2 linked regions of the Kluyveromyces lactis genome follow. The protein of the gene in region 2 purifies or fractionates together with the protein of the main gene of each other region. This does not show direct contact. Links are inferred from orthologs where the notes say so. Each region holds a gene or a part of one and is shown on either strand. Other genes may lie near its edges. The genes, in order: TEL2 and TEL1.

What was found.
Region 1: the proteins of TEL1 (region 2) and TEL2 purify together in Saccharomyces cerevisiae (affinity purification with western blotting; 4 studies listed by BioGRID). This does not show direct contact. The link is inferred for Kluyveromyces lactis from reciprocal best matches to the Saccharomyces cerevisiae genes TEL1 and TEL2.

The regions. Positions count from the first base shown.
Region 1 is NC_006040.1:1,277,030-1,286,626, reverse strand, and holds TEL2 (Tel2p), read right to left. Parts: upstream 4,733-9,597; coding exon 2,732-4,732; downstream 1-2,731. Other genes in the region: HOB2 (Hob2p), read right to left, coding at 1-2,354; ESP1 (separase), read left to right, coding at 5,033-9,597. UniProt on the Saccharomyces cerevisiae protein: Part of the TTT complex that is required to stabilize protein levels of the phosphatidylinositol 3-kinase-related protein kinase (PIKK) family proteins. Required for telomere length regulation and telomere position effect.
Region 2 is NC_006041.1:634,501-644,337, forward strand, and holds the start of TEL1 (DNA-binding protein kinase TEL1), read right to left. Parts: upstream 4,940-9,837; coding exon 1-4,939. Other genes in the region: KLLA0_E06997g (60S ribosomal protein uL14), read right to left, coding at 5,249-5,620, 6,130-6,171; SUMO-targeted ubiquitin ligase complex subunit SLX8, read left to right, coding at 6,891-7,730; SPR6 (Spr6p), read left to right, coding at 7,999-8,574; BSC6 (Bsc6p), read left to right, coding at 9,388-9,837. UniProt on the Saccharomyces cerevisiae protein: Serine/threonine protein kinase which activates checkpoint signaling upon genotoxic stresses such as ionizing radiation (IR), ultraviolet light (UV), or DNA replication stalling, thereby acting as a DNA damage sensor.

The sequences.
Region 1 (9,597 bases), on a different chromosome or scaffold from region 2:
TGATTAAACGCTGATCTTAACTGTTTGAATGCTTTTACTGTGGTAGATATCGTGTCGACAATAGTATAAAATCTGAAATGGTATTCCATCTTCAAAGTCATTGATTCTGAAGACAACTGATAGCCGTCTTGTTTCGAGTTGTACAATTTGATTAAGGCCATCTTGAGCAGTGGAACGTAGACAGCGTGATTCTTTGTGTATACTGATTTGACAAGAAGATCAAGGTCTTCAACAGAAAAACCTGAATGAGCACCAGAAGTATATTTCATATTAGTTAAGAATAATAACAACGTCATATTCTGCGGTAGTTTGAGCACCGTAAAGAAGTTGTTGATGTTAATTTCGATTGGGCGGTTAGAGGAATGGGAAGCACGTTTCTCAGTTTTGAATGATTTAAACCGATTAATCACTGAATGCTTGAAATAGAACCAGAACCACAAGAGGTTAATGTCAAACTCATATTTCATTTTAGGTATGTCAATCACAATAGCAGTACTCGAAGGATTGATTTCAAGCCTATCGAGGAATATAATGTCGTTCGAGTATGATTTTTCGAAGTCACTTGATGATTTATACAGCCTCAATTCTGTAAAAGTGGCATGTGAGGAGTTTCCAGATAACAACATATGTGATTGATCAACTTCTAAACCGATTTTATAGGTTCCATCCCTCAGAGGTACAATTGAATGATCTATATTTGGCATGTTTGATGGTAAATAGTCTTTTGCTGATAGCGTAAAACACAATCCCTTAGCTTCAATTTGAAGTTGGTAAGATGAGAAGCGATGATTGGTTCCTTGAGAAGGCTGGAGAGTCTCCTTTGGTTCAGCTGGAGTGAATGATTTCACAACTTTAAGAAGACCATCAATGACTACAAGCTCATCAAGATTGACTTGTATATTGTGAAGTGTGCTAGCAACCGTATCAGGGTTCGAACCGTATCTATCACAAACGAAATGCCATTTCTCGAAAGAAATGAGTTGATGCTTGCGTCTCTCACCCTTTGAGGGAAGATTATAGATTACTGTAAACCTTTCAAGTTTTACCGTACTTGATAAAGTATTGTAAAGATCAGTAGTATCATTTTTATAAGCAGAAGGCACTAACGATTGAAGGTTAAGTTCCGAACTTATCGAATCTGAAATCAAATGATAGTAGTTCTTAGTATCCTCTTTCAGCAGAAGGTTACTGTTGGATATAATTATCTTGAGAATAATTGGTGGGAGTTCAAGTTGGTTTGGTGTATTCTTGGTATCCGCCGATGTTTGTGTTTTCAAAAACAAATCGCGGAGGTTGCATAATGATAATGTTACACGAGGGTCAATTATGTTGACAGTACAGGAACCAGTGAACGACTGAACATTAAAGTCTTGCTCAGCAAATTCAATGACGTCACATGTAAGTAGAACATTAACGACTGGTATCCTAATATCCTCTCCAGCAATTAAAGTGTATACCAGAGAGTTTATCGAAATTGTAAGGTTGTGAATATTATAGTTTTCAACAGAACTATCTAGTTCTCGAGACGGATTCATATGCAGTGAGGCATTGGATACAAAACATGATTGATCATTTGGGAGAAACACTTTAGTATTCTCTAATTGAACAGTGAAAAGTTCAAGCGTTTCAAGGAATTTCTTGTATCTTCTTATTGTCTTTTCGCTAGAGCGGGTCTTTCCAATTGGACGATACATCTTTTCACGTACTGTCGTATCCAGTTTCAATCCACCTATGTTAACACCACTGGTCCATCTGTGCAACTTTAGACCGGCATCATCATGAACACAATGGAAATGTGACGACAATTCGAGTTGAGAGAGGCTTGCAACTTTCCCCAGCTTTATTGAATGGAAGAAGGCAACTAGCATTACCCGATCCGTTTCGAAGCTGTACTCCAGCTTTAAAACTGCCAAATCCGTCAAAAAGTTAACAGTCGGTAATGAGAAATTAACGTTTACCAAACGAAGCTCAATTGGCATAAGCTTACATAGCACTTTCCATCTGGATAAGCTGATAGGTATCAGAAGACTAATATCTTGATTATCCGATATCTCCTTCGGTATATGCTCTTCAAATTCACATACCACATTTACGTCCCAACATTCAATCTTAGAAAAAAGTGAGAGTAGTAACACCTTCCGTACCTTAAAACTGTAGCCTTTGTAAATAAGATGCAACCAATAAATGCTTCGTCCAAATAAAAATCCAATCTGGAGCTTAGAAATGACAATCCTAGCATTGAAGTATAGTAACGCAAGATTGAATATAATCTGTTGCGTAACGAAAAGTATCGTCATCAATGCCAGAATTGATTTAATGCCATTGAATAACAGCGATATAATATCATATCCCATGTTTCATTGGCTGACGCAAGTAGCTACTTGTTACCCAGATCTAACGTGTCGGTAGATTGGCGGTGAGCAGAAGTGAATGGTTGTTTGTAATGATCAGCGTCTTATTCCGAACTTTTGAGCGTTTTCTTTACCTTAAAAGAGAAGCTTCGGGAAATCACGTGACCAATGCGCTGGGGCACCTAAACTCGTTAACTGCTTATGGGAAAGCAATGAAACCTTTGGTTGCACGCTCGAGACGGTTTAACAGTGTAAATAGGTTATGAAGTCAAATATGTCGAGATATACATTGCGTGTGCAGGTAGTAATTTGATGAAAATTTTTTTTTCCTCTAACCATAGGCTCCATTGAATTCCCCAGATTTTGTCATTCAATGAGTCTTAAGAGGTTTGAACTTGTTGTTTCACAGCATCCGAAAGGATTTCTTGCATCAAAATTTGCATCTCTTCTAGCTCATAATGAGGACTTGCACAAGTTAAAATGATCTTGAGCATAGATATGTAGTGTCTCTTGAACACTTTATCGAATGCACCAAGGTTAATTCCGTTCAACCAAGCATGTGCCAAGGGATAGAAGAAGAGTGTAGCGTACTTCCTAAAATTATTCTGCTGTTGTGTAATCTTACTATCAGTCTCTAAACGTTTTGATCTCCAAGTAACCTTGCTTCCTGTTATTTCAGTAATATCTTGTATCTTATTATTTTCAGGTTGCTGTTCAGTGGCCGATTCATCCCATGGTAATCGATTAGTAGGAAAATCGTATTTAGGTTTCACCACAAATTCATCATCAAAACCCCGTAGTTCCCTTGCACTCAATGCTGCAGATGTCAAGATTACCATCCTTTGTTGCAACGATAACTCGTTATTGAAGAGAATTGCATAAAGATCGACAATCTTGTCTGGACATACAACCAATATGCTAACTAATGCATTAGCCTTCCATTCTTCAAATGATTTTTCGTCAAACTTGTTCGATATGGTGGCTATCTTTTTGAGGAGTTCTTTAGAATAAAAAGATACTTCTGTTGGGAAGTTCTTCTTCTGTCGTACTAACTTCACAGTTTCCTTTAGCAATCTAAGTTCGGACCCATCATTCTTGATAACTTTCTCGAATTCCAGCAAAAGATCTTTGAGGAACAAGATGTCTCTAGAATCTTCTTCATCAGATTCATCGTCACTGTCCTGCAAAGTTATGGTATTAAATTGCTGTACAAGTTCATTCTTTGTAGAGTTCCCTTTTGGCAGATTTTGTAGTCCTTCCTTAATGGGAAATTCAAGTTTGGATAGCTTGATTAGTTCAATTCGAGGCAAATCGATTGTAAAATCGCTTTCATATTGAAGCTGATCATTTGTAAGTTTCTTGGCAACAAACATAGTACGCTCCCTAACCAGATGATCCTCAGAATGAAGTCTCTTGGTGACAAAATTCAAGGAAATTGCATCATGCGATAGTTCATCTCTGGAATCCTTAGACATGGCATCTAATATCATTACCAAGATTTCAGCGAGTGAATCATCTGTGTATAAATCCATCAGTTCAAAACATGGTAGTAATTCTCTGAAGAGCTGTGCACGTTTCGCTTCTGACATACCATGCAAGTAAACAATTTTAAAATACGGATTTCCCCATTTGAAGCAATCTATGCTAGTTGGGATATCGAATGGTAACTGGGATAGTAGTGTGAAAATGGTAGAGCTGTTATCAGGATTAGTTACTTTTTCAAGGAACGGGACCAAATGATACATGAAAAATCTCCTCTGTTGAACTGAGGTCCCCTTTGATAACATCATAATCAAAGCATTCCATGAAAATTCACTAGTAGTAGCAAGCCCTTCAATGAATATATCAACACCATAAGGAATATTGAGCTGTAGACATGAAACGAACATTTCGAGATGCGTCTTATCATATTGCTTCGTCTCTTTAAAGACAAATTCCCATTGCATCTTCATAAACTTTAAATATTCAACGATGGAAATACTGCTGCTTAAAGCGTTATAACATCTGCTTCCAAACAGAATCGATTTGATAAAAGGGAGATCTCTTCTTGACGAATGCTCTAAGTAATTGAATAGACAATCACTCTCATACTTAAGAACATCCGTTAAAAAGCCGTAGAATATTGACGTCTCACGATTCTTACCCAATTCTTTTGCATACTCAATAACCAATGATATGAATATGTAATTATTACCGCATAGCCTGCGTAGTGCCATCTTTAATTCTCTCGGTAGCGATGGATATATTGGTACCACATTCTTGATTATCGGGAGTATTTCGTTACTAGAATGCTGTTTCTTTGATGACATTCGTTCTAGTACCTGATAAATGGTATCTTTATCACATTTCTCATTCAACAAAGTACTATCAATCCCGGACATTGTGCGCTATAATATACAATCTATCACGTCAGCAGCACTTTAGCAGCTTTGCAATGCTTGTCTCATCTATAGGTTTTCATCTCATAGTCTTTTATTCATCTCATATTAAATGTCAATCTTTACAATAACACAAATAAAGAATTGTTTTTGTTTACATATTAGATTCTGTACTTGAAAGTGGCAGATTGCAGAAAGAACTAGAGACTATACACATATCAGCCCGCCAACTTCGTGGATATTGGGTAGCCAGGCTTTAGCCCATACTGTAGTACGTTTGAAACAGACAGCAGTCATATCGAAATGAAAGGTGTCTTGAGTGATATGAAAGTTGACAACAGAGTTAGAAGACCGTTAAACGCTGGATCAACAAAATACGATACGGAATGGCAGGCTACGTCAAATAGTTCGAAGATAACTACAGCACAGGAGAATAATACCAACTCCCTGATTGACTGGAAGAAATTGTACGATTTTGTGGATAATAAGAGCAAAGATTTTGAGAACTACATTCAAGTAAATGATAGTTTCATTCAGTTATATCGCCAATTGATCTGGCGTCATCAGTTGAAGAAACTTCAGGAACTTCCGAAAAAGCATATGAATTGGATTATTTTTTTGATGGAGAGAAACAAATTGACACAAGCTAGCAATCAGATCTTAATGCTATACAACGAAACCAATTTAATTAAGGCCAAAGGTATTGATGACGTTTTGTTAAGTGATTTTTCTGCGGGCAATGAGAATTACTTAGCAACATTAAAAGTAATAACAATGCAGTTGATATTGAAAACAGGAACGACAGAAAGACACGCGGAAAGTCTTTTGGAATGCTTTGCTCATGATACGCGATACCTTCTGAAAGACCCTAATGTGAAAGTCCACGCTTTGGTGAAGCTAATATTAAACTTCTTTACATTGCTAACTGGATTCAAGCCTTTGTTTGGACTCAAATTCGTTCAGTATGTGAATCAGTTCAAACTCGAATTTGGTAATTACATAAAGAATATGGATTCTTCGACGTTTCAAAGACAAATTACCAAATTACTTCGAAAGGATATATCTGTAAACTGCCACATCTATTTACCGAAATACTATGATGAGTATACGAAACATATGGAGAACGATCAAGTGAACTTGACCGAATTTTTGAGGACTGATGTTATAGGTAAGGACGTTTGCACGGAAATAAGAAATCAATTGCGCCTCCAGAGTTTTTCTGCAGGTAAGATCGATGCACTTCTACGACCTTTTTTGTATCAAGCTGCCTTAAACAAATCATCCTCGAGATTGTGTGATAGTCTAATCATTTCTGTCAATAATTCCATTAAAGACCTGAATGAGGAAGCTGTAATTTATGTTCTTGTTTACCTATCCAAAATATTTTTATCATTTGAGGACTTCAAAAGGACTGATAATGTTGCGGCTGTTCTATACAATTGTTTTGTTACGAAACGAAAGCTTCTATTCTTAGAACATGCCGCCATGGTCAATTACAGAGCATATTTACGAACGTCGAATATTTTAGAGCATTTTAAAAAGTTCGAGAGAATTATTGGTTGCTGCCAAGATAGAAATGTTCAAAAGTTGCTATTTTCATACGTATGCAACGTTTTCATGATCTTCAAAGAAAATACACTCCAAGATATGTGGAATTTGACAAGAAAGAGTTTAGTTCCATGCTTTCGCAGGATGAAACTAGACAAATTTGAAATCTTCAACTTTTCTTCAGAGCCAATGTTGTGTCTTTTATATTCTGGCTCTCATTTTTCTTACCAATTCAAGTGGTCTCATTTGTGTCAGATGCTAACTGATATTGTCACAGATGTAAAACAGTCTGACCTTCAAATCGACATGAAAATCAACACATTGGATTCATTTTCGAAATATGAAGTCTTAATAAAATCAATGTTCTGTTTGAATTCTGAAATGAACAGAAACAGCTGTCTCAAATTGCAAAAGGTCTCCAATATATACTTAGAGAAATGGGTGAACAAGGGAAACGAAACAAAACTCTCAGATTTAGAGCTTATGCTCTTGGAATCTATGATGCCTTTTCTCTTACAAAACAAAATATACAAACTTACTGCTGAAATATGTACACAACTAAGAAGCGTACAGAGATATGCATCCATACCAGACCTGATTTCATACTGGCTATTGGAGTCATATGTTGGCTTGCAAATTGGGCCTAAGGTAGAACTTTCCATCATGGAAACGGTTTCCGCACTGAAATACCAGCCGTCGTCTTTCACTGAGATGAATGTGGATCAGCTACATACAACATTATGCATTCTATTAACCCAGGTACTGTGGAAAAAAGACATCGAAACCTTCAATAAGTTAATTCATGATGATTTAACGAGATTTAGACCCAATCTATTTGACATTCAGAATAAAACCAAAATGCCTGTCGCTGAATATTTGAAGATTCTAATGTTAAACATCAAAATTACTCGTTGCGCATCCATTCTTCAACTCTCTCAAAACAACGTCTATATGTCTTTGAAAGAATGCAAACGCTCGCTCAAAATATGCAGACTCTTGATAAAGAAAGAAGCGGTGCTCTCTGCCAAGTATCGATTTGAGGTAATAAGCCTTCTTGACGATATTTTCCAAAGAATTATTAGCATTTATGTCCACACCGGTATTTTCAAAGACTGTGCATTTTTCATAACCGAATATCAAGAGGTTATAGGGTCGTTGGATAACCCAACAGCTCTTTTCAACATGTTTTCCTGCCTATGTTCCTATTACCAGCTGATAGAGGAATCAGAAAATGCCTCTTTATCACTAACAAAAATGAATGCTGCCTTCGACCAGATTGATGGAAGTGCAAACATAGAGGCTTTGGCCACATTCTTGTATTTTAACAAGGAATCCGAGAAACTGAATAATTCTATGAGGTTGTTCTTTGGAGATGACGTGTTTATTTCAGACATTGTCGAGTATTGGTTATTGAGAAGCTGTCAAAAAACTTCAACTGAAACAACACGAAAAGATTTTGAAGCAATGGTATGTATGAACAATGCAAAAATCCTGTACAACAAGGTCCAGAAGCAAATGGCCACTGATACCTTCTTCAGAAGCATGGGCGAATCAGTGATGGCTATTCCTGCATGCTATGACTGTGATAGTATTTCAGTTGATGGGAGGCATAAATCACTATCACTAACTAGTGTACAGACTTTAAAAAGCGTGAATGACTCACCCCGCCCATCATCTCTTACTCCTAGGGGTAAGTCACTTGCCTATTCTTTTGATCGTTCCACTGCAATCAATAATTTACAAATGACAGATCGCTTCATTCAAAATGCTGACATCAAGGCCCTAAAAGCTCATGAAATTCGAGAGTTAGCAAGCTTACATTCATTGACATTGTCACTATTCTTCAACATGAGTACCAAAACAAGGCTGGAAAGCCAACTTGGGCAGAATTTCAGGTTACGAGATCACCCAAGATCATTGTCATTACTATATGAAAAAGCTTTCTCTGATATGGGAACAGAGATATATGATTCTTTTATACCCGAAACTATTGCTACTGAATCCGTTGAAATGTCAGAATGTAATATGAATTTGGCAACTATTCATTCAGAGTTTGGGAAAAAATGGTCTCATCTCTCATTCAATGTGGTAGAGATTGACATTTGCCAGCTCACTGGTGATCTATTAATTACTAGATTCGATACAGTACGCAACAAACACCTTCATTTACGTTTACCTTTGAATCGTCATAATTCCAGAGACCTTTCGGAAGAGGTCTTGGGTTTTGAAGCCGCCCTCGATGAGTTAAACCATATCATTTCTTCCAACAATTGTACCACTTCAATTGAAGTTACCTCGGTCATTACCACCAAAGAACAAAGGAAGAACTGGTGGGATGAAAGGTATGCTTTGAACAATCGACTCCAAACTCTTCTCACTAAAATTGAGGATTCATGGTTTTGTGGGTTCAAAGGAGTTTTTAACCCAAGAATAGTTGATCAGCAGCAATTTGAAATCTTCAAAAAGGGCTTCCAATCAATACTACACACGCATCTTCCTTCAAGAAAATCATCGAGACAATCAGATTCTTTTCTTCAGGTAGATAACATGTTGATAGAATTATTTGTCCTATTAGATGTGATAAATCAACCAACTGAGAAGGCCGTAAGCATGATGGAAGATTTAATATATTTCGTGTTTGATATATTATTATTCCACGGCGAGCAAAATGCATATGATGAGATTGACGTAAATCTAATGCATGTTAAATTCGAAGAGCTGTTACAAGAATATAATGCAGAATCTAAAACCAAAGATCAAACATTAGATCATACGTTTTTAATATTGGGTAATAAATGTCACTCGATACCTTGGGAATCTTTAGATTTCTTGAAATCCATATCCATCAGCAGAGTCCCGTCAATAAAAATGCTCGACGAATTGTTAACCAAACACTCAGAGCTTTCTCCTTGCGTCAACGTTTCTGAGAATCTCTCGTTTGTCTTAAATCCTGGAAATGATTTGGGTAGAACAGAGACAGTATTTAGTTCAGAATTCATTGCAATGGCGAGCAGGACTAATTCAAAGGCTTTCATTGGTAAACCGCCAACGGTAGACGAATTTTTTCATTCTGTGGCAGATTCTAATTTGTTTGTATATGTTGGACATAGCGGTGGAGAGCAATATGTTAAACTAAAGGACTTGAGAAAATGTAACCATTTAGCACCTAGTCTCTTATTGGGCTGTTCATCTGCTCATTTAAAATACTGCGGAACATTTGAAAGCAGTGGCACCATTTATTCGTACTTACTTGGTGGGTCTCCTATGGTTGTGGGGAATCTTTGGGATGTGACAGACAAGGACACAGACAAGTTATCAGT
Region 2 (9,837 bases):
CTCTATTCAAGATATCGGAGAGGAAAGAGCTGCGTTGCTTAGGGAAACTTACAAGCAGTATTTTAATTAGCTGTGATATGATAGCCGAATGAAGGAACGCAGTATTATCACACAGCAACGCTAAAATTCTGAAAGAAGGGAATTTTTCAACAATCACAAGTAAGATATTGCATATAAAGGCGGAAATCCACTTTTGATAGTGACAAGATCTGTCAGTGAAAGTCAGGGTTAAGAAGGTTTCACCCAGTTTAATATTGAGCATACCATGACAGTTCTCAAATTTTTCCCAGCTTATATCAGTTAAGTTTTTTAAATTCACCAAGGAAGAGTAACTGTCAGAACTGATTTCTGCTAGGACAGATTCATCCTGTAAGATAATCGACTGGATATGATCAAGCAGAAAACGCAGGCTTATATCGTCTGCTTTCTGATATTGTACCCATAAAATTTGCAGTAGACCAGATATACCAGATTCCAAGTCAAGTGTGGAACAATGATGTGGAATTATGTGATCGTAAGGCCTTGTATAAACAATTTCACCTAGAATATTTCCAAGCCACCTTCTGAATTTATCGGAAACTCTTGCATTATCTCGCGGTATAGATATCAAATTCTGAATAGTAGTGGGAGAGATTAAATTTGCGTCGAACGACCCATCATAATCAAAATTATCAAATAGGTCAGATAAAAGAGAGACCGAAGTTCGGTCGACTTCCTGGAATTTGAAGACTTGTGCAATATCATTCCATCCGAAAGAGTTTGTTTCTAGGGTTAATAACGCATAACAGGTAGCATACAGCTGTTTGCCATCAGAAACACAAAAGTTGAACAGAACTGGATTCACTTTAGGGAATAACGTTTTTTTGACATTTGAATCAGTTACAGTAAAGCAGAATCTCATGAGTTCTGTCAATGATCGGGCAACATCCATTTTATTGTTCGCGGAAAACTCAAGTAAATCCAATATGAAACCATACACTTCTGAAAAAATGTCGGCGTTGAATAAAAACTTCGATAGTTCCAACAGGAAAAAATCGATATCTTTGAACAAAGTTAGCTTATGCTCAAAAAATAATACTAATAATTTTATTTGCCTTAACACACGAATTTTTTGATCAATTAGTACGCAGTTTTGTAAATCCATAACAAGTCTTTGTATCACATATTCAAAGCTTCTTCCATCATCAATATCAGTAAAAACATTCTTTTTCAACACTTTATAGACAATTGGAAAGGCAATTGCAACATTATCATTCAGCTGCATACAGTTCGATGAATTATAATGCAGCATGTTTGTGAATCGGCTCGAATTGAAAATTTTACACCAAAAGGTCAACGAAGTAGCAAGGTTGGAGAGATCTGATAACTTGATAAAGTAGTAAATGACGTCATCCAAATTAATAGTGAGAACGTTTGGGAATTTTCGGCCTAACAGGTCCGCGGCTATATCAAAGATGAGGTCTTTCACGCCTGAATCAACATATGATAAGGCAATAGTAGGAGCTATGTATTTAGTAAGAAGCGCCTCTTGTTTCAAGTTCAGTAATTTCTTTAGATGGTCTATAATGTAATAGTAGGTTGATGATTTTGCGAAGAAAAAACTCGTTAGCTCCATTTGATATCTGATACAAAACTCGTCAAACTCAAACTCAAAAAGTTCCACTTTCCATATGCTCGGTTCATATATCTTGGATTTGGCAGACTTTGTAAACCACTGGTCTATAATAAAATATCTGCATTGATGAAAGAGATCTTGTTTAGAACAAAGGCCATAAAAAGTTGAGATCGTATCCAAACTTTTTTCAACATATAAGAGAAGATGAGAGAAGTTTGTGTTATCTAACAGATGTAAGATAGAGTTGAGCAAATAAAACTCATTGATAAGGGATAATTTCGTACATGTCAACGAAAAAAATGCAGCAGTTTCAACCGACTCTTGAGGAGGATTGAATCTCTGAAGTAGTTCTTTGAATAATATACGTTGATTAGTAACACCAACCCTTTTGACATAGGTTCCGAGCAGAGATACTACCCTGTTCGTCAAGTATTTCGGCAACCTAGTAATGCAACCACTGAGTATCTTGAACACTCTTTGTTTGCCTCCAGATATGGAACTATTGGAGAGGTTGTACTTTTCCAATAAAAGAGTCATAAAACGAGCGAGCTCATATAAAGCTTCCACACCGCTGAACGATGATTCGTCATATTGTGTCACAATCCAATCAAAAATGTCATTGCAGTCGGCAGTCAGAACTTGACTTCGATCTTCCATAACCCAGTATTTTGATATTCCTTCAAGATATCTTGTCAGTAATTTCATTGAGGTCGAAGATGTGTCAAAGCTTGGAGCTAATAGTGAGGAACCCAAGAATTGAGTTAGTCTTTCAAGGCTGGCAGTTGGAATTTCATTTTCATTGTTTTCCAGATATGTAATCAAATTCGGCAATGTTCTGTTCAGCATTGGCAATGATAACTTTTTCGAATAAAGAATAAATGATGATAAAGGATCAAATGCTTTTGATACTGAATGTACTTGTAGTGCGAACTCAAAACCTATTTCTATCATTTCGGAAATAGGGATGCTTCCTGCTTCAGGCTTTGCATGGTGACTTAAAAATTCATCCTGATGTGAAGTCTGCTGAGTATGTTCTGCAAGCCTCTGCATAAAGGTTGATAAAACTTTCTCTGTTGGTAAAATATCCATAATGATGTGTCGAAGTAAAGAATCTTTGAGTGAAATCATGCCTTCCATTACCGAGAAAATCTGAGCGTTCTGACCAAAATCGATAACCGAGGATGATAAAAGGAATATCTCTTTAAATCTTGACAAGTAGTCGGTGTAGTTTCTTTGGCCAACGAGACTTTCGATGGTACGGAGCACCTGGATTGCCCTATCAATGAAAGTAGCTGAAATTGCACTTTCATCAATTAAATCAAAAAGTTTGTACATGAACCTCACACGTTCGGCTTCTTCGCAGAAAACAGGAGCAAACTTTTGCTTTCGCAGTTCAATCGTTCTAATTGTTAAGGAGAAGCCAGTTATACTTGCCCTTTCCTCAGACAAACCCATCCATGTGTCATGAAATAAAGATGGCCTACTATATTCGAAAGTGGGGAAAGTAGTATGCGTGCAGCCGCATAACCAGGATGCAAATACGTAAAAGTGCGTTTCCGACACAACCAGAGTAAAAAGCTGATCCCACCTAGCGTATAGCCAAGAAAAAACGTACGTAATCGGACTTTTAACGGTCTGAAAGGTTTTTGCATAATAGTGAAGATGCATCCAAAATTTGAAAGATTCATTACAAACTAATGCAGGGCCATTTACATCAGATAACAAATACAGATCTGACATTTGCTGTAGCACACTCTTGTCTTTAATTGGTTCTAACTGAAATTCAATTAATTTGTAGAGTAAACTACAAGCAGTTTTGCACCCGTTACTTGTTTTCAAAAGGGGTACACACATCTTAAACAGTCGTATTTCCTCTTCCGGACTGAATGAATTTTTGCTCTGAGAGCACATCGGAATGAAACAACTGAGACATAATAACATGAATCTAACATCTTGGGAGCACCGAAACAATTCCTCTTTCAAATGAGACAACTCAATGTTACTACAGTCAAAAATTGAAAGATAAAGCAATCCAATATGCAAACCGGTTGTCTTGATTTTGATAGAATCACTATCAATGCAATTACAAAGGAAATCGTCGTATGTCAATGAATCCTTTAACATATGGGCGAATGTATCCTTTACTTTTCTTCTCTTAAAAAGTAGTGAACCTCCGGCTAAAGAACTCTCTTTATATTCTAGGAATTGGTAATTAGCTTTCAGCATCATTGTCAGAGACAGAGCATAAAGCCATATATCTTCTAGACAATTCTTTTCATTCTGGCAAATATCAGAAAAGCTATACCAATTGAATTTTGAAGATGCAGGACCATCTATGAAGGTAACACAGTCTAGTGTGAACTTTGTATGATCGTATTGTTTCAACGAATGAATCAAATAGTCTTGAAGCGCAGGGAGCAATTTCTCTTTGTTAACATATGACTGATCCTTGTCCTCGCCTACAATTATCGGAGTTTTATTGTACAGCACTTCTGATATCATCAAATTGAATCTCGCGATCTCCCCTATATTATTTTCATTGGTTAATTTAATTCTTAGTAGATGCTTAATTGTGTAATAGCTAAGATTTATCACGTCCTGAAATCTTATCAGATGTAGTCTTAATATAGCTGAATTGACCAATGTTAGTATGGTTCTTGTATTAGTGTTTTCCTTTGTTATCAAAGTAAGATATTTGATTGTCATTCTTACGACAGGAGTAGCAATGTCCTCAATTCCTATTGTGTCGATTTGAAAGAGCTCTAGTAATGTTTGGAGAAGGTTCGCTATTATTTTATCATTATATGAAACATCAAGATGGTATGTTACTGCATCGCTGATATCATGGGAAAGTGAAATCCATTGGTGCAATTCAAAATTGCATTGAAAAACAGGGGAACCACATAGAGCCACAAGAGAGTAAGTTAGGTGATCTGCCACGGATGTGATCAGTGATCTTGAACGTGGTCTAGTCATCAATTCAAATAACGTCATAGATAACAGTTTGATATGTTTAGGTTTGAATCTTTCACAATTTCTTTCCACAAACAACCTTAAAGTGTAAGCGGCAGAGCCCAATCTGTTCTCGTATAGTTCTATCCTAGCATCCTTGCCATTCTCTAATCTGGTTTTTTCATATCTAGTCTTTTCGGACTCTATAATGGTTATAATAGCATCCAATATGGGAGAGAACGCTTTCACGGGAACCTCAGTTGGTGAGGTTTTCAACAGTAAATTTAGATTATCGAGAGAATCATTACGAGTCTTCAATTTTAGAGATGACAGTCCTGTTACGATGACAGACACCTCAAAGCTAAAGCTCATTAGTTATGTAACGAAGACATTTGTTGCAGTTTATCTTCAATATAACGTTCGGTTCTCTCTTTCTATAGACAGACGTTTATCTTTGATATTTCTTTATTTACATTATTTGCATTATTTCATGCAAATGTAAAGTTAGGAAAAACTGTAAATAGACGTGGTAATGAGATATCTCACAGTTAAAACCGTATTGAAATGCAGAAGCTTTGAGAATACCTTTAACTAATACTCCAGATTTATTCGATCTAAATATTGTTTAAATTTACACATATAATGACTATTATTTTTTAAGTAAAGTTGGATAGGGTTAATTTAAACAACAACACCAGAGTTGGAAGCAATTCTTGGCCACAAGTCGGCACATTCCTTACCGACTGGACCAGTAACAGCGGAACCCTTCATTTCACCCTTAGGGTTAGCAATGACACCGGCATTGTCTTCGAAGTACAAGAAGACACCGTCCTTTCTTCTCCAAGCCTTGGATTGTCTGACAACGATAGCTGGCATAACCTTCTTTCTCAATTCAGGCTTACCCTTCTTGACAGTAGCCATAACCATATCACCTAGAGATGCAGCTGGCAATCTGTTCAATCTTGAACCAGAACCCTTGACGGCCATGATGTACAAGTTTCTAGCACCAGAATTGTCAGCACAATTCATAATGGCACCAGTTGGTAGACCTAACTGTTAAAATAAAATTGACAACACCCATTCCTTAAGAATGAATGTATTCATAAAATTTGTTAGTAAAATAGTTCATATATTTGAATTCAAACTGCGAGGGACATCACATCGAGACTAGTCATCAAGTTCTTTTGCACCTCATAATATCAATTATTTGGTAACACAGTTGATTCATGAAAATAAAAGCACTTAAACCTGATAGTGTTGAAAGTTGAAAGTTTCAGGATCATTTAGCTAAACGTCGTTGATGGTATAGTTGCATGTTCAGTATATCGCGAGTCGGTTTTTTTCTTCATTTTCTTGGGGTTACATATTCCCATTCAGTTTTGACTATTCTTCACTCGAGTTGGATGGGTCACATATTTTCAAGACTCTATTCTAACACCCGACCTAATCTGTCTCTCATGACGTTTTATTCGTGTTATGATTCGCTAATCTCTCTGGTATCCCGCCTATCTGCTTCGCTTTTGAGTTTGCTTATTCGTTCAAATAAAACGTTTCTAACATACAGAAATTCTGAATTTAGTACCTTGAGCACCGTTACCTGACATCTTTGTTGTTTATTGGTGTGGATTGGTTAATGAGTTAGAATCTGAAATAAAGCAGAACGTACACAAATCAAGCCTTTGTTAATAACTATCTTACTCCATCGAATTCAACCAATGGCTTGAAAATTATCAAAACCTGTAATCTGATATTCTCACCAGTCCATAATGACAAACTCAAGGAGCTTTCAATTCTGGATAGCTCTGTACTGTGTTTCTGTGGGAGCAAAAAAATAAGCCCAATGCTGCCTAAAACGGCAATCGTGTTAGTATTTTTAAAAGAAATAGGAATACAATGTGCGTGGGGAGGTGTATGGGTTCGTTGCCATATGGTGTACTGGTGTATGGGTCCGAATGAAAAAGGAAAGAGTTAGGACAGTCACACCTATGGTTTCCCTCTGTGTTCAATATAAGCAATCAAGAACCAAAATATTCCATTGAGGTTAGAGACATTTGGAATCATACACATCAAAAATTCAGCTACCAAAGACTTAAAATCATTAGACGAATGATCCAACGGGTTTCTGAAGTATAGAAAATTCTATCATACTATAAATTTGGCCATATCTCACTACCACTGGTATACTCAGTGCCTTTTTTTTTAAGTTTAAATCCATACTTCTGATACTTTTTTACTCTTTACCTGAAGAGAGTCATCGGCGTATTAATAAGGGTAGTTAATGTCCAGACTGTATTAAGTGTTCTTACAAATAAATCAACTTGGAATGGTGAATGAAGATGACAGTCTTCGGGTAGTTAGTTCTTCTGATACTACGGATCAGTTACAGCTGGTACCTGGTCTTTCTATGGGACAGAGCACTGTCCGCACTGGTGAGGATGAGGATGAACGAATAGTTACAGGGCGCAGGCGCCACGAATTGCAAGAGTCCGAAACTGATATCGAAGAAGAAGAAGAAGAACTACGAAGGAAGTCGAGACGAATAAGTCGGACGTCCATCGTAAGTATTGATGATGCAGACATACTTTCAGAAACACAACATGTCACTGAAATAGGCGACACTACAGAGCAGAGCAATCTCGCCACCGCACCGCCCCAAGAGGTATCTGATAATGAAGAGCCTGCAATCATTTCTACTGCAGATTATGGAGTGGCGTACCAAAATGTGCAAGACCAATCAGCAGAAGCACAAGACCAAGAAGAAGAAGAAGAAGAAGAAGAACTGCACGAGGCCGTTGGAGAAGGCGATGACGATGACATCAAAGTACTCACGGAAGAGGAACAGATTAAAGCACAGCAGGTTATTGAGATAGATGATGAAGACGAGACTGAAGGCCACAAGTCTGGTAAGGATATGTCAGAGACACCCTTAGAGACGAAAAAAGCGGCTGATTACGTCTGTCCCATTTGCATGGAACCTCCAGAAGCGGCTTTAGTAACCAAGTGCGGACATGTTTTTTGCACTACATGTCTGTACGGTATGGTGAATAGTTCCAAAGGTAACGGTAGACGGAACGGTTTATGTGCCTTGTGCAGAGAAAACGTCAAACTCCAAGATCTTAGATTAATCGTCATGAGGAAAAACCGGATCCGAAAACCAAACTAATAAATACCTAATGAGACTATACATAGGAGCAATGAATTTACATAATACTGTCGCTGTTGCAATTTTTCAGCCTTTCAACTTTTTAAGCGATGACAGTCACAAAAAAATCATCAGACATAAATGCACTTCAATCAAGGTACCTCTCAATGGCAGTAGAACAATGGAGTGTGTGTATAAAAAAGGAGACAGAACCTTAACAGTATACCCTTTTTTTCCCAAGAAATAACCCTTCGTTATAGCCATATATATATTTATTTATTTATTTATTATGATATTTCGAATTTCACTCCCCATATCTAAAACTCTTATGACTTATAACTATACTGCAACTTCGAACGACTCCAAATGCAGATCAAATGAAAACAAGACTGAGAATCAAATACCTGTCAACACCGAGGAAACTGGACTTAAAACAAAACAGAAACAGCACTACAACCACCTCCAGGAATACGAAAACTACTGTTACAAGAAAAAACCAGCGTCATATTATCTTTGGTCCAAAAGCTACCGAGTACGGCACAAACCATTAAGATTGGATAGGTTCCCAAAAAATGAATTGAAGAAAATCCGCTGCGGTATATTCATTGGACATCAAGACCATCGATGTGCATATTGTCCGTTCCACGGGATTAAACATGGCTACACTTTACAACCAACATTGAATTGCATTTGTCGCTTCAAATCGGTTGCACCAAGTCCATTGAAGCATGATATAACTAAATACATGATTATGAAAAGACATCCAGTCTTTGATAACAAACATGTATACTGGAACACCGGAAGTAAACAGATAGACAGAATTATAAACCACATGTGTATGAACTCAACCAACAAAAGGAATTGAAATAATTAGTAGTAATGGGACATTATACTGCATTTCTTCCAATAAGGCAAGACAAAACAACTAGACAGTATATAATACAGTAGTACGCAGTGCACTGTCGACTGTATATTGACTTATATTTACTTATCATGTTTCTCCTTTCCGTCACTGAAGAAGACACTTAAACCTCTCTTCTATTCTGAATCGTATCATATACCGCCATCTGCTGGAGAAAAGGGGAATATCTAGCAGAATTAGGTAAAAAGTCTTGTAAAAACGGCCAGTACGAAAAACTCTAACTGGAACCGGATTTTCGAAGGTGATTTTCAAAAAACCCTAGAACAAGCAGTTTGAAGGTAAATCTCAATGACAGCCAGATGGCTCCATACTCACGGGGCATAGCTTATTGCAGTCAGGATATGTCTGGTTCCGCGGACAATTAGTCGATGGGAGAAATACCCTTGTGTTCGTACTAAAATGCAGGGTCGCTCGGCCTTTGATGACTTTGCTGACAGTAATTGCCTGTGGTGTTAGGGTTTGGTTTGTTCTTTATAACAGTCATTCGAGTGTTAGAAATCAGTATCTACTGCAATTACGAAGTGTAAGTTGAATTGCTAAAGTTCTACTAACATATTGTTAGCTCTAAGACAAAAACATATGTGTACCCGAAGTGTGGTTAAACGTTTATTTTTGAAGCATATATATATTCATATTCTTGAACGTATACGTATTTTGGTAGATACAAGTCAATGGCCGGTGTTGTGTAGATTGCTGCTAAGAAACAAGAATTAGGCTGCTACAGAAGCTCATCAAGACAAAAGTTCAATTTGTATAATGAAGGGCGAAGATGATTATGCCCAAACGACAAGAAAATCTGTCCAGGTGGAAGATTTTGAGTTAAATGACTTCGATGATAGCACAGCATTCCCTTTGATCAACTCAACTTTACCGAAAGGTGGCGATGATATCCATACAGAGCAAGCTTTTGAAATTGATGAATCCGGTAGTGAGTTGCTGCGCAAGACATGGTACGAAGGCGAAGAAGTTGTGCTATATCCTGCCAATTATGAAAAGGTGTCAGTCGTCCGCCTACAAATCGCGACATGTTTGGTATTATTCGTGATGTTTGGTATGACGGATCAAGTGAATGGATCTTTGATGCCTGTTATTACTAAGTATTACAATGTCACCGAGCTTCAAATGTCGATAGTGTTTTTCCTTCAATTGATGGGCTATGTGTCGGCATCGGTCTTAAATGATATTTTGCATAAAAAATGGGGGTCT